Drosophila melanogaster: one gene and its partners. Changing the gene in region 1 together with any one later gene gives a genetic interaction. Each region holds a gene or a part of one and is shown on either strand. Other genes may lie near its edges.

The links.
Region 2: of Su(z)2 (region 1) and Marcal1, changing one suppresses a phenotype caused by changing the other (phenotypic suppression), as found in Drosophila melanogaster (one study listed by BioGRID).
Region 3: of Su(z)2 (region 1) and dlg1, changing one enhances a phenotype caused by changing the other (phenotypic enhancement), as found in Drosophila melanogaster (one study listed by BioGRID).
Region 4: of Su(z)2 (region 1) and Dll, changing one enhances a phenotype caused by changing the other (phenotypic enhancement), as found in Drosophila melanogaster (one study listed by BioGRID).

The regions. Positions count from the first base shown.
Region 1 is NT_033778.4:12,994,945-13,000,221, forward strand, and holds the start of Su(z)2 (suppressor of zeste 2), read left to right. Parts: upstream 1-1,556; 5' UTR 1,557-1,867; intron 1,868-2,178; exon of another isoform or gene 2,179-2,268; intron 2,269-4,332; 5' UTR 4,333-4,391; coding exon 4,392-4,554; intron 4,555-4,854; coding exon 4,855-5,107; intron 5,108-5,199; coding exon 5,200-5,277. UniProt on the Drosophila melanogaster protein: Regulates expression of the homeotic selector genes by influencing higher-order chromatin structure through interaction with other proteins.
Region 2 is NT_033779.5:4,953,859-4,959,513, forward strand, and holds Marcal1 (Marcal1), read left to right. Parts: upstream 1-1,650; 5' UTR 1,651-1,724; coding exon 1,725-2,491; intron 2,492-2,549; coding exon 2,550-3,040; intron 3,041-3,099; coding exon 3,100-3,250; intron 3,251-3,319; coding exon 3,320-3,484; intron 3,485-3,549; coding exon 3,550-3,832; intron 3,833-3,893; coding exon 3,894-4,088; intron 4,089-4,149; coding exon 4,150-4,365; 3' UTR 4,366-4,434; downstream 4,435-5,655. Other genes in the region: Jon25Bi (jonah 25Bi), read right to left, coding at 465-1,265; CG34124 (uncharacterized protein), read left to right, coding at 4,620-4,714, 4,772-4,934, 4,993-5,655. UniProt on the Drosophila melanogaster protein: ATP-dependent annealing helicase that catalyzes the rewinding of the stably unwound DNA.
Region 3 is NC_004354.4:11,373,487-11,378,957, reverse strand, and holds the start of dlg1 (discs large 1), read right to left. Parts: upstream 3,196-5,471; 5' UTR 3,150-3,195; coding exon 2,240-3,149; intron 2,117-2,239; coding exon 1,985-2,116; intron 1-1,984. UniProt on the Drosophila melanogaster protein: During embryonic development, some isoforms are essential for proper neuronal differentiation and organization. Required for cell polarity; maintenance of apicobasal polarity.
Region 4 is NT_033778.4:24,812,806-24,818,400, reverse strand, and holds the start of Dll (Distal-less), read right to left. Parts: upstream 3,580-5,595; 5' UTR 2,965-3,579; coding exon 2,834-2,964; intron 808-2,833; coding exon 632-807; intron 1-631. UniProt on the Drosophila melanogaster protein: Transcription factor that plays a role in larval and adult appendage development. Specifies the identity of ventral appendages (including legs and antennae) and suppresses dorsal appendage development. Involved in patterning the distal-proximal limb axis.

The DNA of each region.
Region 1 (5,277 bases):
TTATATGTATGTCTTGTAAAATTCTACCACCAAAAAACTATTCTCTCTTGTTTTGTTCTTTGAAATGTTTTCGGTAAAATATAAAACGAAGGGTATTCTAACACGACATTTTAACAAATGAACTGAAATATAAGTATTTACCCAATTTAACAGGGTTGATAGTTTTATTAAATACAAAATCGGATATAGACACTAAATAGCCACTGCATCGTTAATGTCCTAGTGTATAATTTGTATTGTAAGGACCACATTCCTTGAATGATTGGAAAACTTCTCTGTGTAAGATAACTCTATCCTAACCTGGTTTTTAAAAGGTTTGCAATTATACATACATTTATCTGTTTTCGCAAGAACAAATTATGATTTCCCATAAGTGTATAGCATTTCTTCAAAATGTGCATGCAATTAATTCATCGACAATCGGATAAAAATGACGTATTTCGCGATGATTAAGCTGTCAGTGTTCTATAAAATGTGGTTTCCGCTCTTTATTACGTTAAAAAGTTATGGAAAATGTATTTAAAAAATGAATATCTTACAAATCGCCGCTATGTAGAGCTAATGTAATTTCCTACGTGCATATCTATTAATCGAGTGCCCATCGGTGTGCCTCCTCAAAATATAGGGTATATTTTATTTTTAAACTGTTTTTATTAATACTACATCACTCTTCTAGAGCAAACGTGGGCTTCAGACAGTCTTCCATGATAAATAGGAAGCAGCTCTTTGAAAGGATCTATTTCTTAGTCTGTATGCACAAAGGGGTATACTGCTTCTGCTGCTGCTTATACCCTGCTTCCAGTAACGCTCTTTTTGGCATACGGTAAAAACTGAAGTTAACATGTGCATATAGACCACATAACAATGCATTATAAAAAAAAAACCCAACACTTAGAGATTGCGTGAAAAATGCGGCGTCATTTGCGAAATTGACATTATCTTTTATCGCTAGAAGTTTTTAGATCCCCGCTCTAAGCTAAAGACGAGCATGAAATCACTTTGTGTAGAACGCGCCAAAAATTATTCAAGGACAATGCCAAAGTCCTTTGAAATGCAAATTTTCCATTCTGTTTTGCCGTTTTCCCCCTTTTCTGCATCGCAAATCAAGAGGCGGCAAATGATGCGAGAGAACGCACTTTGCATATGGCCAAAAACAGGTTCGTCGCGGATTTCAACAAAATGAAATGCCAACGGCAGACCAACAAAAAAAGGAGAAAAAATCTGCGAAAACGGGCATTTTTGTGTTAATTATAAACGCCAAGGCCAATACACGGGCACACTGCACGCACATACATACGAATATGTGCGTTAATCTCTCTCATTTGACAGTTGGATTCAATTAGAAACGACGCCACCCACACAGTTACAGAGTAACCTCAATTCGTGAGAGTGCGACGCAGACAGCCTGCTGATGCCGAGCGCCCCCCTCTTGTCATCTCGCTCGTGCAGCGATGTGATAGGTTAGTGGTGGTTCTCTCGTGTTTCACTCGTGCGGCTCTCTCATGCGAGCCGAGCGATTTTGGGCAGCGACAGCGCCAGCAGGTCTAATTTGAATCAGTCTGTGGAAACTTTTCGTGCCGTGCACTTTGTGAAACGGAACGGAGAATATATTTTTGTCGTGGCGCGAGCTCAAACGAGTGCGAGAGGGAGAGAGCGCGAGAGTGAGTGACAGAGAAGCAGCGAAAATCTGTGCGTGTACGAGAAATCGATAACAGCAGCTGAAGTGACAGAAGAAGAAGACGAAAAGGCAGTGGAGTAATCGAAAGCGTGTGTGTTCGGTGTCGGCGAATGGATTTGTTTTAATGGAAAATCCAAAGGGAATATGCTACAGAGGAAAACTCTTCAAGTAACAACGCAATTGCTTTGAGTACGTATGCGGGAAATAAAAACCAAAAAGGAAAGGGAACATGAAATTTTCCCTCTCACATGTATGGGTGAAAATTTTGTAAACACAAATGCCCTGGTGTGCGTGCGTGTTATTCTCGCCGCGTATTGGAATTTTCGTCGTGCGGCGAAAACGTCGACAGTCGGCGAAAATGCGCCCGCGCAAAAGTAGAAAGTTTGTTTGTCGTCTCTCTCGCCGCGGCGAATAGATACAATTTTGTGTGTGTCGTGCGCTCTCGCCTAACGGCGAATTGAGCGCGCAAGTGGCAGTTGGGATTTCTCGAATTGGATTTCAGTTGAACTCTGGACGCGGCCGCGGAAAAATCGTACCTCCAGAGTTGTTGCGATTTTACGTAGATTTTCGTCCATGTTTTCGTCTTTTTTGTGAGTTCATTTTTCGGACAGCCAGCTTGTTGCGTGTGTGTGTGTGTGAGCGATAGAGAGTGGGAGAGAAGTGGCGAGTGTGTGTGTGTTCAACCACCCTGCGGGCGCCCGTGCCGGTCGAACTGTTATTGTTGTTATTGGATTGCCGACACTTTCAAGCTGTGACCATGTGTGTGTGTGTGGGTTGGTGTGCAAGTGCGCGCCTTTTACGAAATTGCGGCGTATAAACAGAAAGCGGGCTAAGGAAAATCAAGAAAAGCGCTCGCCAGCGACGTCATCAATTTAAGAGCGTCATCAAACGTGGGATTGTCATTTTCCAGCTGAGTGGGCGTAGGCACACGAACGCCAACCACCCACTTTTCTGCCCAACTTTAGTTCAAGCCGCTCGGTCTTTTGTTTTTGTCTTGTTCGCTTTTTGTTTTGCTAGCACAGCCTCCGTTCTTCTGCCTCCCCTTTACCCAACTATGCCACCCTCCTCTTTGCGTGCCATTTTCGCGTGAGCGGCAAACGAAAATAATCGAAAGGCAACGGAGACAAAAAATGGGCGAAGCGATGCGACTTTTGGTTGCGCTATGCGATGGGCGGTTTAGATGGGGTGGCTGTGGATTAAAAGTGCTTAAATTTGAAGAATACTTAGTTAAATAATGAATAATGCAGTGCCAAATTCAGTCACAATTCAACAAACTTCAACTTGCCGACTGACTGAATTGAGGGGAATAAAGATGGCCTATTCCAGAAGAAATCATCATTTACACGCAATTTTGTTTCTAATTATGCAAATGCGGGAATCTTTAATGAAAATGAAGAAAAAGCATTCAGCTAAAAGAAATTGCTTTGCGCACAATTATTTATCATACTGATGATAATTAGATGGTTTTACTGTACTTTCTACAGTTGAACAGTTGTACCCCAAGTAGTCACTTTGTAATGCAGATCTTGTTGATCCGATTAAAGGCATTTCTTTTTATTATTTATGTTGGTAATTAATATAATGTCAAAAATATATAGAAATATATATGTAGTGAATATTGTATTGAGTTATACGCTTTTATGGAACTTTTTAAAAGGGGTTTTCGAATATTGACTTACATTTCAAAATCTTAGGTACACTAATTGTTACACACAAGTACTTCAACAATAGTCCCAAGAGTAACTTGAAGTTTTCCTTGGTTTCCTAGGAGCTATCCGAACAACCTGCTGATCCACTATGCCCTGAACTTTGCCCTGAACTCTCGGCTGCCTGCCATCAACTCGCAATCATCGTCCGGGCATCGCCATAATGATGAAAATTCAGTTTCCACTGGTGTGCAGGGCACAAAAGCGTAATTTTCGTAGTTTTATGGTAGATAAAGAGGGGTCTGAAGCGATGGGGCAGAAAAGGGGGGCGCCAAGCTAAAACTAGCTTCAAGTACACCGTCGAGTGCACATCGCTTTCTGTGCGCTTCTCTCGGCTCTTCTCGGCTTCTCTCGGTAGGTGCCCTCTGTGGCACGAAGGGCGTACGAAAGACCAAAGACCCCACCTCCCAGTGCCCGCAGACCCCCCTGCTTTCCACCCGCCCACAAAGTTGCTACTTTTGTGTTCTGTTTTGTTTTTTATTCTATTTTTTTATTCATATTTTTGTGAGCTGCAAGCACATTGTTCCGATTCATGGATATGGATGGCTGCCTTACTAGTCTAAAGTTTTCTGTATTGTGCGAGTGTGCTGACGTTGCCATATCTTTTGGGACAAGATACAGATACACGGTTGATATATCTGGCTCTGTGGCTTTTTTGTTGACGAGCGACAACCACAAATGTCGACAACAATGATGATGACGATGATGGTGATGGTGCTTGTTGATGGGATTGTGTGCTGGCTGTTGGTTCTCACAGTTGTGTGTCTTTTTCCTAGGTTTTACTTGGCCCCTGTTACCCCGTTTCCTTTGTGCCCTCGTCATAATTATGGAAAGACCCTAACAGTTGATTAGCCATCATCAGTTGTCACACTAGTGTCACTTGTTGAGCGAGCACATGCCAAACATGGATATGCCGAGTCCTAACCCCCATCCTTGTTCCTCTTCCAGGACCCCATTGAAAGAGGCTGCTAGGAGTAAGTATTGAGGCAGATAGAATAGGCAGAAAGATGCACCTGCAAAACACGCACAACACAATGGAATCAAACGCCGCTATGGATGCCGCATCCCCAGCTTCTCGGGATGTCCGGCAGTTTCATGATCTGATAACGTGCCGACTTTGTCGCGGTTATATGATCGATCCAACCACTGTGGATTACTGTTATCATACCTGTAAGTAGTCTTAGATTCCAAAGAGTACCTTTAATATACGCATAAAACCAATATCTTGTATTAATTGCATGTAATTTGATCATTATTTGTTTGATCACTTTTACCATTTTAAAGTTCATTTATAAAGTTAATTTAAGGTTGTCATGATTTACAATATTGACTGCCCAAGTTAGATCTTAAACTTTAAGATCATTACTAAACAATGTAATCACAGCTTCTGGTAGTTCTTAAGCTAAAATACACATTTTCCTTGATCATTAAACATATTGTTATTCGGTTTGATCTATCATTTCTCAACAGATTGCCGGAGTTGCATACTAAAGCACCTGCTGCGAGCGGTATATTGTCCGGAATGTAAAGCCAGCGGAGGCAAGGAAATCAATGAATTGAATCTGAAATCGGATGATACGTTGCGATCGCTAATCTATAAGCTAGTGCCGGGACTCTATCAAAGGGAGTGCAAGGAGCTGGCAGATTTCAAGGAGCAGCACGATTTGGTGGATGAACAAACGACTGATGAACCGGAGTTCTTCACAACCACGGAACTTATAAGGTAGGTTTCAGCTAAATGCTAACAATGCTTAAACGTGTAAAACTAATTTTACTAATAAACTTTTTGCTTTACTTTTCGTTTATATCAATTAGCTTATCCCTGGAATACCATCCCGCCATGCTGCATCAGTGTGGTCCTGGTGAGGTGCCTCCCACTATTTACCTGCAATG
Region 2 (5,655 bases), on another chromosome or scaffold:
GTAAAAAGTGAAATATTTTAAAGACGAAAGTTGTATTATTTTTTAGAAATATATTTCATATATTTAATAAATATATCACTTCGCTTTTGTGATTTGTCAGTATAATAATCCTTTGGAATATATAATCTTTTGGTAAATATATATATTATTTCATTATCTGATTATTGACTAGTATAGACCACAGTTGCTAGTATTCCTACTTATGTCTATCATGGCTACATATATAGTGTTTAATCATGTTTTCCAGATAACAAGTGTTCGATTGCCAAGAAACCATCCCATTTCTTAGCCATTCATGGCTTCTTATCTATAAGACGTTTATTATAGATTCGGATTCTGCATGACTAGACTTTTGAAACTTAAAAATATCCATGTGATTTTTTAAATGTAATAAAACCAGAAACATAAAGGCGTCAAATTAATTGTTATGCATTTCGTTTATTTAAAAATAAAGATAATCAAGCTTAGTAGTAAGCAACGCCGGAGTTGTCGCGGATCCAGTCCAGCTGGTTGGTAACACGGGTGAATCCGGAGGGCAGGCCAGCGGTGCAACCGTTGCCGGAAACCCAGGAGGTGACACCCACCAGGCGGCCACCGTCGTGGAGAACCAGGGGGCCACCGGAGTCACCGGAGCAGGTGGACTTTCCGCCGGAGGTGGACACACAGAGGATGCCATCGGGCTGGGTGCCGTAGGTGCGGGAGCATTCCGAGTTGCTAATGATCTGCAGGTCGACGCACTCCATCCAATCGGGCTGGGATCCGGCGGTGGTCAGTCCCCAACCGCAGGCGACGGCCCAATAGTTGTCGTACATGTTGTAGCGATCGTTGAAGCTGGGCAGCTCCACCTTGTTAACCATGTGCCAGAAGTCCACGTGGGGGGTGCGGATCAAGGCGATGTCGTTGCCGTTCTGGTTGGGCCAGTTGTGGTTCTGGATGAAGTCGCCGCTGCCGACGGTGTGGGTGAACTGGGCGTTGGTGCGCCAGGTGGCTCCGTAGTAGATGGTCACCTGGGAGGCGCCGTTGGTGCAGTGAGCAGCAGTCAGGACCCAATCGTGGGCGATGATAGAACCACCGCACCACCAGCCGCCGTTGCCGCTGAAGCCCAGACCCACGGTGTAGGGAGCCTTGCCCTCGTAGGCTGGATATCCGTTCACAATGCGGCCATTGATCTTGGTGTCCTTGGGCAGGTCCTTGGGATGAACCTGCTGGACAGTCTCGGCGGAGACAGCGGCCAAAGCCAGAGCCAGTACAACGAACACTTTCATGGTGATTGGATCAATCGTGGTCTGCGCCAGACTTCCATCCGTTTTTATTGCGCCCCTTATCGCTGTCTGGAGTAGCCCCCACTCGGCGTTATCCTATCTCTAAGAAATTCGCCCTCTGATACCAATGGAAATTAATTGATAGCACGTCTAAGAACATCTTGATAGGCAAAAAAAATAATAACTCGCTTTTAGGAAAAATTCTAAGCTGATTATCTTCGCTTACAACCGACGTAGGCAATATAAGAAAACAGAAATGATTTTAATTTAATTTAAGGACTAAATAATTTATACATAATATATACATAATAATGTATACATAGAGTATGTAAAATGTAAAAATAATTTAAAATAGGCGCCCAATGTAAGATGTAAGGATTGAAAAATGGCTCACCTGGTCACACAGAGCCATGCATTTATTGTTTATATATTCCGCCAAATTTTATCAATTGATGTCGCAGCATGTCCACTTGCAGTTCATCCGAGATAGCGGAGAAGAAGCGCATTGCGCTGGCCAAATTGCAGGCCAAGAAATCCCAGCTGCTGGCCAGCGCACCCGCAACCAATGGAAAATCAACAACGTCTGCAACAGGTGCGACGCAACATGCGAATAATGGAAAATCAAATCCCAATCAACCGCAGGCCAAATCCCCATTGAATTTCTACCGATCACCGACGGGGGAGCAGAAGAAGATCAACAGGAGCGGTCCCACGCCCGGTGACAACAAGAGCTCATCCTTTCTGAACGCTCTGAAAGCAATCAAACAGACATCCAACCGGGAATTGTCCCGCGGAGCAGCACATCCTTACCAGCGGCCAAATGGAGGGAACGAAAGAAACAAGCCCACTCTTTCACTGAGTTCGGATAAGGAGAAACCGGTGGCTGTGCTACTCGGAAACTCCATCACGTGTAATCTCTACTTGATCAGCACACATCGGTTTGCTGCCCAAACCTCAGGATATCACGAACAGCTCGTGACCGTGTTCAAGAACATGCCCACCAAGTGCTACGATGGCCAAACCCGTATCTGGAGTTTCGATCTGTCGGACTACCAATCCCTGAAAACTCATGCAGCGGATCTAAAGCCATATGTTCACATGAATGGCATTCCGAAGAAGGTGCTGGATCTCTGCGGCCAGCCGCCAGTAGTTCCGGAAAGAAGTGTTTTAGCTTCCATAGAACCGAAGCTGGCGGACCAGCTAATGCCCTTCCAACAGGATGGGGTATGGTAAGCATTGCTTGTATGCTATGTACTTCCAAAAGCGCTAAATTTATCATATGTTTAGCTTTGCCATAGCCCAAAAGGGACGCATTATGATCTGTGATGAAATGGGCCTGGGCAAAACCTATCAGGCCTTGGCCGTAGCCGACTATTTCAAGGATGATTGGCCCTTGCTTGTCTGCACCACCGCTTCTACGAGAGACAGTTGGGCGAAACACATAATGGATCTACTGCCGAAGGTGCCCATCCACTATGTCCAGGTGCTGAACAACAATCAGCTATATGTGGGTGAGGCCAAGGTGCTAATCACCAGCTACAATATGATGGAGCGACACGAAGATAAGCTGATGCAGCGGAAGTTTGGTTTCATCATCTTCGACGAGTCGCACACGCTGAAGAACAGCAAGGCCAAGTGCACGACAACGGCCAAAAGACTCACGGATCAGGCGAAGCGGGTGGTTTTGCTATCCGGCACACCGGCTCTCTCCCGGCCATTGGAACTTTTTACGCAACTGCAAATGATTGATGGCAAATTCATGAATTTCATGGAGTTCAGTATGTCAAGAATGTCTGTTTACCTTAGAACGCGCTTATATCGATTAACACATTCACAGCTACTCGTTATTGTGATGGAAAGCAGTCAACTTTTGGTTGGGATGCCAATGGTCAATCGAATTTGGAGGAACTGAAGGTCATACTTCACCTTAAATATATGCTGAGGCGAACGAAAGTGGAGGTGCTGCCTCAACTCGCTGAGAAGAACCGGTGGGTTGTTCACATTGTTGTATATCTATAATATATTTTCTAACATTTCGAACATTCTTCCATCCGCAGTGAGACTGTCGTCCTGGATCCCGCCCTAGTGTGGACCAATGCGGAGACCAAGGAAACCTTGGATGCGTTTAACAAAGAGCTTAAAACCGCTAAAGGCAGGGCAACGGAAGAGATCTTACTCCGTTTCTATGCACGCACTGCCGAAGTGAAAACTCGAGCGGTCTGGTAATAAAAAAAATCATTAAAACCATATAAACCATCTGAAGTTAATGTATTATCCTGCATTATAGCGCCTACCTAAAAACCTTAGTTAAGGAGCAGAAAAAGTTCATTATCTTTGCCCACCATCGTGTCATGATGGACGCCATTAGCGACTTCCTCAGTGGATTGAAAGTACACTACATACGTATTGATGGACAAACGCGTAGCGATCACAGGTCGGATTCTGTGGACACGTTCCAAAAGAAGAGCAGTTGTAAGGTGGCCCTGCTCTCCCTAAAAGCCTGCAATTCAGGAATAACGCTAACTGCAGCTGAGATCATAGTGTTCGCTGAACTGGACTGGAATCCTAGCGTAAGCTTCGCTTATATGTTAACTTGGAGAACGCTTAAATTTAGTTTTATTTTATGTGCAGACTCTTGCCCAGGCGGAGAGCCGTGCCCATCGCATTGGTCAGACAAAACCGGTGATTTGTCGCTATCTGATTGCTCACAATACGGCAGACGATATAATCTGGAACATGCTGAAAAATAAGCAAGAGGTGCTTAGTAAAGTGGGCATCTTTGCCGAAAATCTTCAGAAAGCAACACACACAGCAGCACCCACTTCAGTAAGATACATTTTGAATACTTTGAAAAATGTATTTTTCGCTAACTCAACTTTTTTTTTAGTCCCACAAGATCGAGGAGTACTTCTCGCCCTCCACGTCCACCTCCCTTGAACCGGAAAGGAATAGCATAAAACAATATTTTTCAACTATTCCAGCTAAAGAGCCGCCTGAGCAAAATAATAATACAGAAATGACCAAAGTAAACAAGGCTGAGTCGGATATCGCGGCGTTCTTTAACGATGATGATGATGAGGCTTTTTTGGAATTAGATATTTAGATTGTGTAATGGAATTTAATCCTAGAATGTTTATTGAGTTAATCGTAATAAATTGTATTTGAGAATGTTATAGCATTGAATGAAACTTGTTGAACGCACTTCTGCGCATGCTCCACGTTTGCAGAACTCTTTTCAGATAGCCGGTTTCATGTGACCTGGCAACAGGCAAACAAACACTCAAGTAAACCTTTTCACTTGTATCAAATAAATAAATACACAGCAAGTTAAGTTTTGTACAATAATAGCTAAATAATATGGATACTACGCAGGAATCTGATCTGCTGGGCGAAGAGGAGGAGTTGGAGAATGAGAACGACGTATCCTTTCCGCGTGATATCGTCAGTGTAGAGTGAGTACGGAATTGGAAGTTGATAACTTTTTCTTGATTGGAAAACTTCTGCTGCAGACACTCCTTTGGTTACGATTGTAAGAAGCTGTTTAATTTGGTCCTTGTGGATTCAGACACGCTGGTTTTTGCCTCTGGAAACTTCCTCAACTACTTTAGCATTTCGCGCCAGGAGATTTCCTTTCAGGAAACGGTCTACGGCTGCGGAGTGGGCTTTATAACGGTGAGCTTTTTAGTACCTTTGAGTACCTTTGTATGATCTAATGGTACTCCATTGCCAGAAAAACGAGCATCCTGACTACACCAACCTCTTTACGGTGGGCGAGAACGGAGCTCGTCCCACTGTCTTTATCTACGAGTATCCATCGCTTAATGTCCGTGTTAAGCTACTGAATGCAGCTCAGAATTGTTTTACGGCGGGCTCCTACAACAAGACGGGGGAATTGTTCGCCTCGCAGGCTGGCTATCCGGATTTCATCATAACTATCTGGCGTTGGGAGAACGCTGAGGTTGTCCTGCGTGCCAAGTCCTTTCAGAGCGACATTCTGTTCGTGCACTTTTCGGAGCACAATCCCATCCTGCTCTGCTCTTCCGGGCTTAGCCACATCAAGTTCTGGAAGATGGCCAACACCTTTACCGGCCTGAAGCTGAAAGGAGATCTGGGTCGCTTTGGCAAGACGGACTTCAGCGATATCTATGCCATGTACATGCTGCAGGATGAGAATGTGATCTCTGGCAGCGATTGGGGCAACATGCTGCTCTGGCAGGCGGGGCTCATAAAGTTCGAGATCTGCCGGAAGGGTCGAAAACCGTGCCACACCAAACCGATTACGAGGATAACCATGAAGAACGGTGAGGTGACGACGGTGGGCATGGACGGTTATGTGCGCGTTTGGTACTGGGAAACGGTCGACTTGGCCGATCCGCCAGAGGACGATTTGTTT
Region 3 (5,471 bases), on another chromosome or scaffold:
CAGTAGTAGTGCTTTCAAACGCAGTTGAAATGTTTTCAGTGTTATTACAGCATAACAGATTCAATGCAAATATGTTCAACAAAAGCGGGAAAGAGACGGAAAGAGACTGGAATCTAACCTCAAGTTTGATACTATACCCAAAACACACACACACACACATACGTTTCGGGTGTTTGGGATGCGGCTAATACCTTGTTAATTATTTCACACGCACACACATGCATACACCACCTCAAATTCCCTTGGGTGGACCTTAACTGTGGGTTGATTTCAAGGCTGTGAACTCTTTTTATCGTAATACATGTGACCCATATCTATCATAAGAAAAATCAAGTACTGGCATCGTGTTTAAAAACTCTCTTCTTCAATTTAGTTTAGCTTTCCTTCTAAACTAGCAGAGCGACGTGACTGATCATGTTCTGTCGAAGTGCGACCCTGCGAGTTTTTAAGTTAAGGTCCACCCTTGTGTTTGGCCATACAAAAGCTCCTGTTTTCTAACGTGTCACGTGTTTGGCTTGTTTGCATTTGAGTTTGTGTGTGCTTGTTAGCCGTTTAACATTTCTGACACGCCAAGCGCAGCCACTGAAACTGTAACGATAACGGGAGAAGAGGAAGCACCAGCGGGATACGCCGAACAAGAGGAATAGGGACAAGAAGAACCAAAACAATGGGAAGAATGGAAAGAGGTAGGGGGAGAGGACCCAAGCGAAACGAAACGAAAAGGATTATGCAACTGCCACTGACAGCGGGCAACACAATTTGCACCCAGGGGTCCAATAGAAAGGGACGGGGTCACAGAGCGAGACGCGGAGCGAGCGGGAGAGAGCCATAGGGGACTAGAATGAGATGGAGCACGGCGGTAGAGCAGAACTTTTGCAAATTATACAACAGGCAAGACCCACAAAACAGACAACTGCAAACCAACCGCCCGTCTCGAAATGGATGGACATATGGACAGAGAGAGATGAGAGGCGGATACGTTGCTGAAAAAAAGAAAAGATGGGCGAGCAAAAAAAAAAGTGTACTGCAAACAGTGCTGCCAAAAATCCAAAAGTAGCTAAGAGCTAATCCAGACAAAACTGTCAAATGAGAAAAACAAGCTGTCAAATCTTGGGCAAAAATGTCTCAATAAATGGGAACGGCTTAAAAAACTGCTTAAATATACAATGATAAGGCAACAATGGCAGGGAAATTAACTTTTCTTAATAGGAAAGTATTTAGTTATAGTGATAATTAGGTTCATCTTAAGCTTGAGACTATAGGTAATATGAGGGAAACCAACAAGTTGCTAGTGAAAATCAATGGCTCCTTCGCCATATGCCACCAAAATGCACTCCATGATGCAACTGGAGCACTAATCAGGCCGTCTATCGACCCTTTTGAGTAACCAGAGTCGGTAAAGAAAAAAAAAACAAGCTGAATTAGCCGCATTACTATGGGACGCTTGCTGTTTCCATTGCGCTGCGCTGCTTGGTCTATTTGACCCAAATCCTATGCAATATTATCGTTTTGCTGTCGCTGTTGCTGCAATTCCCTTTGTTGCTACTTTGTGCTCACTGCTTGCTTGTCAAGTGAAAATAATTTGCAACGCGAGGGGAGGGACAAGAAAATCGATAGGCGATAGGCAATGGACGATAGACAACTGCACAGATAAGAACTACTTTTCAAGGATCTTTCTTTCCGGCTCATCAACTACTTTCTAACAATCTTGGCACAAAGTTCGCAACTTTGTTTGCGTTTAAAGTTTCAGAATCAATAGACGATGATGATGAGCTTGGTTAAGGCTCTTGCTTATAACGAACTTGTGAAAAACTTATTTAGCACACTGACCTATATAATAAAGTATTTCACAAAAATGCACTTATCTAGCGGCAATTATTTAGATATTTTTAAAGGCAAAAACTTACGAGCGACGCGAATAGCGTCTAAGATATACATATAGGATATTTTCATCGATTTAATCGATACATTATCGATTACTCACCTAACAGCGCTTGAAACAAGCGAGATTTAAATATGCGTATAACGCGTTCGATTGCAATACGCAGCGCCCGATCCTGCGGCTCCGAAAGTCTCGCGTGGTAGTCCTCGAGCAGCTCGAGAGCCCGATGAGCTTCTGAAATATATAGAGAAAAGAATATGGTTAGTACAAATGATCTTCGATTGTTTTATTATGAAATCAACCCAAAAGACCAAGGGATTCTGCCTGCCCATTTTTCCCCACTGGATTAGTGCCTACTCTGTATGTCCGCAATGCGCTCCTCCTCATCCTGACTGATCGCCAGACCCGCCTGGCCGAAGATCGTTGACCAGAAGCCCCTCTCGGAACCCTGTTCCGAACCACTTTCCCCAGCCGCATCCTGTACGTGGGATCTCTGCTTGGGCTTTGGCTTCGCCTTGCTCTTGGCCTTCAACTGCAGCTCCGATTGCGATTTCTCGAGACTTTCCCGCTCGAGAGTCTCGATCATGGTGCGAAATCGGCTCAGTTCCATGCGCAAACCCTCGGCACTGTGGCGACTCGACGAAGAGACGGAGAGTCCGGAAATGCCGGAGAGAAGGCGACAACGGGCTGCGCCCGAGGATGACGACGACGGACCCTCCCACTCGTCGCGCGAAGCATCGCTCTCGGACTTCTCAAAGTAGCCAGACTCCACATCCGGTGTTCGGACCATCGAAGTGGAGGACAGCATGTGTCCGTACTCGAGAAGATCCTGGGCGGAATAGAAGCATTCAACGGACTCGCGGACACTATCGCGCAGGGATGTTGGACACTTCGGAGGCTCGGGATCCGGTTCGGTTACGGTCTCCATTTGGTGTTCCATCACCTCCAGTTGCGAATCCCCATCCATATCGCTAGCTTTGGCAGCTACTGCCACCGGATTGGTATCATCGATTTCTTGGCGCACTTCTATGGCTTCCGCCGACGGCTGTACCAAGACCACCAAAGGTGGCTGGTCTTGGTCGCAGCGAATCTGTGCCTTCTTCTGCGGCAGCAGGCACTCCTCCTCCTCGGGCTCCTCCTCATCGTCCGCCGGAGAGGAATCCTCCGCCGGTTCATCATCGTCGTGGAATGTCTTGTCATCGCTACTGAGCAGTCCCTCGTTGGGATCGCTGCTCTTCTCCCGCTCCGAGTCCGTATCCGAATCCATTACCAGGACCAGCCAAGAAGACACCTCTCTTCGCGCCCAAGTGCCGCACTCAACTGGCTAGACTTTTGAGCTCTATTATGGTTCTATAGTTTGGTGGCTGCTACCGCCGATAAATCAATAAAGATTGACGCTTTTTAAACATTTTTCACCGCTTGTCGGACGCCAGTTATTAACGCTTTTTTTTTTTTGTTTTTTTGTTTCCATGAAGGGTGTGTGCCTAAAATTCCCCATCCTAAATGCTTTAACTTGAAAATCTGAATAGCAACGAAGTTGTGTGTTGCTGCGCATAGTTTGATGTCCCCATGCGAAGAGGTCAGGGGTCAAGTGCCATACCGTCGCTGGCTTGTCATTCGTGCCGCGTTTGCCAAAAAATTAAACACATAATTTATTATTATAATCGAGTCGCATTATGGTCCCAAAACACACGCACACACACACACATACAGAGCACACAAACCAAACTATACATACTCGTATCTAAATGAACATTGTATCTGTGGCCGCAGTTTGATGTCCTCAGCACGCGTCAAACGCCGACGTTGACCTTCACTGACCATTTGCGAGGCTGCTGGCAGCGCTTTTCCCCGGTTTTCCCATTTTCCGTCTGCTGCGGCTCCTCTCTTTCCCCCTCCCCCTTCCCCCTTCCGCACCATTTCATTTCATCTCTTCTGTTGGCCATTTGAGTTGCCCAAATATGATTTGTATGTGACATAATCAAATAAAATTCTTTGTCTGCATTAATTTAGCTGGTTTTTTATGTATTTTTTTTTTTTTTTTTTGTTGCATAGCTTCCAATGCACAGTTGGATACATTGTTTGTTTGGCCAAAAGTGCCATCTCGTGTGTAATTGGAAGCAGCTTTGCTGGCTAACTTTGCGCAGCACGTAAAAGTTAAATGATCTACTAAAATTACAATTGAAAAACTAATGCCAACTTTCTATATACTATATGGTGCTTAAAACTTTCACCAGCAAATCAATGCAGTTTTGCATAGACATAGCTTTTTTAATAGGTTCTAACTTTATTTCACAATAGTTAAGGTTATTTTTCTAAATTTGTTATGCATAGAATTATGTAAAATGTGATCTTAAACCATTGTGTTAAGTTTTAAACTACTTTTTCAATTGCTGAAAACTGGCAAACAGTTTTCACTGTCCACCATTCATAAGGTCCATTCAATTGAATGGATTTCCACGTAATGCCAAAGACAGATATGTAGAACAGAAAATAAAAAAAGAAGAAGAAGGAGGGAAAGGTGGGAAAGGTGGGCAGTGAATAAAAGTGCAATTTTTCGCTTACCTTGCTTTTTCACTGGCATTCTGTGAGCGGTGTTTCTGCTACTATTTATGGTGGTGCTGGTGGAAATGGCAGCGGAAATGGCGGTGGTGCAGCAGCTTTGATTGTGGTTCAACGCCGCCGAACTGGGAAAAGCGTGGGTCGCAATTTTGAGAATTTACTGGAGTCGCTTTCGAGTGGAAATGTGCGGAAAAATCGCTTTGGCTTTTCCTTGAGTTCTCCTCCTTTTAGTTTCGCCAGCACATCTGTATATATATCTGATATATATGTATATATATATATATACTATTCGATGGTGTTTTATGTACAAATATTGTTTTGTTAGATACTTTGGCTTTCGAACAAAGTTCGAGATTTGTTGTTTTTTTTTTAATTTTGCGCTTTCAGTTTGCTAGTTTATTTTTTAATTTCTTTATATATTTTACTTTTCGTTTTCTTGGGGCAGCTTTGTGGTTACATTGACGTGTGCGTTTTCTCTCGATTTCTTTGCGATTTTCACATTTCACAGCTCAATGGCTCCTCACATTCACATTCGGTTCTATAGCATTTATGTTGCACTTTATATTGCAATGCGACTATCATCGAAATGTCGTACTTTCCTCGTCACAACACAACAACACCAACACAAAAAAAAACTCAGATCGTTTATTTGCTTACTTCGCGTTCACTTGATTTGATTCTATATTGCATTCACCATCTGAAAGTCGAAAGAAAAACAAGTGGAGAAGGTTTGAGGAACACGGCTCCTTTGGATTTTTTCTCAACGGCACCCATTTTGTTGTATAATCATAAAAACAAAAAAAAAAAAAACAAAAATTACGAAAATTGCAGACACACACGGGCGCAGTTGAATGCGCTTCCGATTGCAACAAAATGGGTACAGTGGTAACTCGCTGCGTGGTATTTCGTATCTAACTTCTATTGATCAAATATTAATAGCATATTCTTCAATATGCAAATATTTTTATGAGAATTTTAGCAGAATTGTAAAGTATATTCAATGTTTCAGCATCAGTTAAATATGATG
Region 4 (5,595 bases), about 12 Mb from region 1:
CATGGGAAGGAAAAGTAACATAAATGTCAAAAAAAAAGACTTGCGTGCATTATATTTTACCTAAAACTTAACCTGGCATTTTCGATTTTAGTACGTGTACATTAAATTATTCGTATTAAAGAGCTTGTGTCAACTTAGATGTCTTTATAAATTAAGCAAGTTTCCAATGAAGCGTTCAATCTACATAGCCTTCTAACTTATTAGTGTGAAATAAAAAGACCTTTAAAGAACAACTTAGTGGAAGATCTACGAGAAAAGAAGTATTATAATGAGGCGTATAAACACAATGAAGTCTGATATCTTTATCTTCGATCTATAGCCGATTGAAATTGAAATTTGATAAAAGTGAAAAGCAGCGCAGTAGCAAGAGGACAGTGAAGGCAGCCTAATTGAGACGAGTCGAACTTGAAGTGAACGAGCAAACAAAGCCCGCAGAAGGCGACCACAATGGCTCTCGACGGCGTTGAGCTCTCGAGTTGAAGTGTCGCCAAAAAATAGACAGGGAAGCAACGAGCGAGATCTTTTCAAGATCTCTTTCTCAACAAAAGACCCGGATCTCTGGGAGAGTAGGTATGGGATTGGGACTGGGATTGGGCCTGAGACTGATCGGATAAGGAGGAGCAGTACTTACCATCCTTCGGTGGACTGGCGCAGGGCGGGGCGTAGCTGCCCAGATGGTAGCCGGAGTAGGAGTTCTGGTGCATTGGCGGGAACGGGTAGCCGAGGGCGCTGCGCGGACTGGGGAAGCCGGAATCCTGGCCGCCCTGCGGTCCGAAATGCTGATAGGTGCTCCGGATGCCGCCGTACCTGGAATGCCGCAAATGCACGGAAAATAATCAATACGGGGCTGTAATATAGCTGTGGCAGTTGTGGAAGAAGTAGTGGAAGTAATGGAAGTGGCGTACACCGGCTGTGAATGTGAATGAATCGTGCCGGGGACAAAACTTTTCCTACTTGCGTGTTTTGTCTACACTTTTCACTATTCACTATTAAATTCAAACGTCGCCGAGCATAGGACGAGCGTTCGGTCGGGAAAATATCTAAAAGTGGGCCCAAAATGTTTCATGTTTAATGCAAGAAGCGTCGAAACCAAAACTTTTTCTCTCACAACAAAAAATTAGGCTGGCGGAGAGGAAGGAAATTTTTGCCATGACTTCATTTACAAAAACCAGAACCGAAACCAAAAACAAAACCAAAACCTATCCAAAGCCCGAACTGGATGCGGCTTAATATATCAAAGAAAAATCAATACGAGTGTCAGAGTCGCTGTGTTTTAGTTTCGGTTTGGTCCGCAGTTCCGTTTGCAGTCCCGCTCGCTCGCGGTAAATATTTTGTTAACACTTTGCGGGCGAAACAGTTGAGCAAGTTCCCATGCATTATGTTCCGAGCGAACTGCATGAAATATTCAATGCTCTCCTGGCCCCTCAAACACGGAAACGGAAGCGGGCCGAAAGCAGCAGAAACCGCAACGGACAGCGGCCAACGGACAACGGAGAACGGACAACGGACAGCGGACAGCGAACAGCGAACAACATGGCAGCCACTCCGGGGACGGAGAAAAGTCGTGGCCAGGAACAACTCCCGAGGGCTGGTCGGCGCAGCCAAGCATTCCAAGTCCCGTCCCAGCCCAAGAGCCCAACACGCACAAATGACAGAGCAGTGGAAACCGCAAGGCTCAAAACCAAGAATGCAATAAAATATGTATAATGAAAAATCGAATCGTGCGTTGGGAAAACAATTTGCGGCTGCAAACAGTTCGCCGAGTGAGCGGTAACAGTAAACAGACCACCGAGCCCGACTTATTGCTACCCCATGAGGAACGTGTTGTTGGATAGGAACAGAACCCTCCGGATCAGACGCTTATTTAGAACACGGACCGGGAGTAAACTACACTTAATTGAATTTATTTTTGGCTTCCGCTGCCGGCCAGCCAGGCACCAGCATGAACTGTAAGCCGGAAAGTGCAGCTGAAGTGATTTTCTTAATCAAAACTAATAGTATAGCGAGACCCCAACGCGAAATCGATCCCGAAAATAGTATCATAAAGATGGAAAGCTGACGGCAACTTTCATCGATTCAGTCTTAGTCGATTTGGCTGAGGGCCTAGAGAAGGCTAAATGGCGAATTGGCAAATTGAAATTTAAAATTGTGATTTCGAATTTATACTACATTTGTTACTTTAGAAGTACATTTTTATGGAAGTCAAAATAATTTTTAACTTTGGATTACATTGACGAATTCATAAATCTACAATTGGTTGCTTTCATTTTTTAAGACAACTAATAATTATACAAGTTTTTTAATAGTAAAATTTATGTATCGATCGAAATAAGACTATTGGCTATTGTAATGTAATCAGTAATTAAGACCCTAAAAAGTTATATGAACTACTTAGACAATATACTCTTGAGTTAACCTGACTTTATTTAACTGCTTGCTTTTACCAACTGTTATTTATTATTAAAAATTGAATTTGTTTATTGTAATGTCAATGTACTATATTATCTATTTATGCAATTATGCAGCTTGTAGTCCTATGCCAACTAACTTTTTCCCTTGAAATGAATGAAATGATTTTAAAGACCAAATGGTTTTATGGTACGTATAGCGCTCTTTAGATTCATTAAAAAGATTCATATTCGAGTTTTGGGAACGCCCTGGCCACAAACTCCTTTTTTCTCGGGTGTGTCAACTGCTCCGCACAGATTGAGATTGAGTTCCGATAGGTTTGGTTTTGGCAGGGCTGAAGTCTGGAGGGGATCGAGTCTTTTCGCCGAAACACTTTCTGCAATCCTCCCGGTGACTCCACTCCACTGATCTTGGGGACACTCACCCGGCGGCGGCGTGCTGCTGCAGCTCCACGAAGGCGGACTTTCCCGGGATGTTAATGCCGGGCGTGACGCTGGCCGCCGTGTTCCCGCCGTCCATGTACTTGGGCGTGTGCGGGGCGTCGGGGGCGTCCATGCCCGACTGGGGGGTGCTGGGAGGCCCCTCGTAGGGGCTCCCTAGGTCCGTGAAATTGAGCGTGTTGGCGCCTATTGAGGCCACTTTATCAAGAATTTTGACGGCTGTTCAGGGGGATGCGCGCGGGAAGGAAGTTCTCAGAGATCCGATGGCAATGATCAGCTATACTTGCACAGTAGGAGTGTGTGGCTTGCGTATCTAAGGTTTTTGTAGGACACAATGTCTTGGCTTCAGTTCAGTTCGGCGACTTGATTTGGCGGAACTGTTGAGCGCGTAAATCCTTTCAGATGGCGAGGAGGCACTTTTCTCAGCACTGACACTCAACTTGTTAGCAACTCAACTCACTCGAAATTGCTTTCTTGTATCACTTCGATTTCTGGCTGTGCATATTCTTTGTAGATTTTCACGATTTTCAACTCCGTTTTGCGAATCAATCAAATCAATTCATATCAAATCAGATCAGATCAGATCACTACAAATCACTTTATAGTCCGCGACGGATCACTTAGCTCGACGCAGAAACGCAAGGCGCAAAACGCTACGACGGATCGACGACGGCAATTCAACGGCGAGAACAGCGGCGACGACTGCACACGAACAAAGTGCGTATACGACTAGGTGAGGTTTTCGCGGCGCGGTTGCGCGAGACTTCGACTCGCTGCGCTGTCGCTTTGCGGCCGTGCCGCTTTGCCGCTCTGTAGCAGTGGTGTGCGAGCGGCGCAGATGTCATCCATCGCCGTGCGTCGGAGCGGGACGGCTGCTGAGGCCCAAGCCGCTGGCAGTGACTCTCGCCGAGCGTCGCCAATCGGGTGGTTTGCAACCGGTTTTCTCGGTGGTGTCTCTGTATGGTGGTGCAGAAACCGCACCAATACTATAAATTTCCCCGTTCCGGGTGCACGGGGGTGGGGCTGGGCTCTGGGACCCCGTTTTTGTGCCGCTCAACTCGTCAACTTTGTCTAGGTCTAGGGCCCGCATCGAGATTGAGGCGTGGCCTGTCGCCCCGCGTCCCCACGGATTTGGGGAACTTACGGCGTGTATATGCAAATTCCAGGGGGAACTGCCCGTGGAAAGTGCAAATATTTTGACGTTTTAAATAATGTTGATTAAATGCAAAGGTCTCAATTATTAAATTGATTGTTGAACCTATAATTTGTCTTCTTATTTAGCCGCTGCTCCTTTCGGGTCTTATTTTCGGATCAATCGAAACTGTGGCACACGCATTTCCACGGGTAATCAACAGTTGCGGACAACAGACGAATTAACTTAATGATTTGTTTACGTTTTACAATCGGTGGGCTTGCTTGTAAGGAAAAAACGCTACGCACACAAACAACATAGCGTGGTATATATGACAGGTCTGCTATCATTTTCTAATGGAACCTTTAATTTGAAAATCCTTTCTAGGGAGTCTTAAAGCCTCCTTGGAGTTGGTACTTGTGGCGCCACCTAGTGGCCGCCTTTGGCAGCGACAAACCAGTCTATCGGGCCAACCTGCTCACCTGTCAAACACACACACACACACCCTCGCAGCCGCACTCGTACACACACATACTACCTGCGCACCCAGCACGCCCCCTGCTGAGAGCAGAAACTCCCTCGCCACGCCCCCTTGAGCGTTTCGAGAGAGGGCAGAGAGCTCGAGTAGGCCCAATTCAAAATGGCGTCCTTTCGGCCACATAATGTCGCTTTGTGGCTAGGGCCAAGCGACACGGACCGTTTGCTCGAGCGGACTTTTTCATTCACAAGACAAAGTCACCGAGCGGAGAGAACAGCGGAATTTCCACCTTTGTCCGCCTAGCCTAACTGGCAGTTGAAGCGGCGGCAAAGCGGTCTCCATTCCACCCCTTTCCCCTCTCCCAACAGCAGGCAGTTGTCACCTGAGAAGGATTTCCGCTGAAAGTGGGAAAATATGCATATGCATGAGTCGGAGCGGCGCTATTAACCAGAACCAGAGTGCCACAAAAATCGAATTAAGTTTGTTTATAAAAGTAAATATAAATCGAGCATCCAGCGGTAATTGAGCGCCTGATCCGACTGAAATGCTAATCCCCTCGTCCGGATTGGATCGGATCGGATCGGCTGTGGAGCCCGCCGTTCCGAGTTATGACCTGGTCGGCTGCGCTGCACTAATTTAAGGTAGCACTGCAAATGCACGTAATTGTTGCAATTACTTAATGAAATATTTATTAAATGCAAATTATGATTAGCCCGGGCTAGCCACTGCACTGCAGCTACTGTTCCTTTTCCCAGTGAGGCGCCTGGGCTGCGCTGTTTGTGCTTGACTAGGCCAATGGTAATACGGGTACCCCTCTTGGGCCGCGATTAATTGGCCATAGATCAAAATCAAATTACAGCCACACGAGACACGTGCAAATATGTCAAGCGAACACGTTTGCAAGTCAATCAGTCAGGCGAATTAATTTATCAACTGTCGCAGATGAGCTTGCGACATCGATAAATCAGTAGATATAGGACATCTGATCTATAAGTTGACTTGGAAGAGTATTATTCAAAACCCGAACACCATTAGTGCTGATTACTTACAAAATATTATAACGTCAGTTTTGAAATTTAACGATCCAAACAAACAGAAGTTTTGTATTAGTATGGATTTATTAAAATAATTTCCAC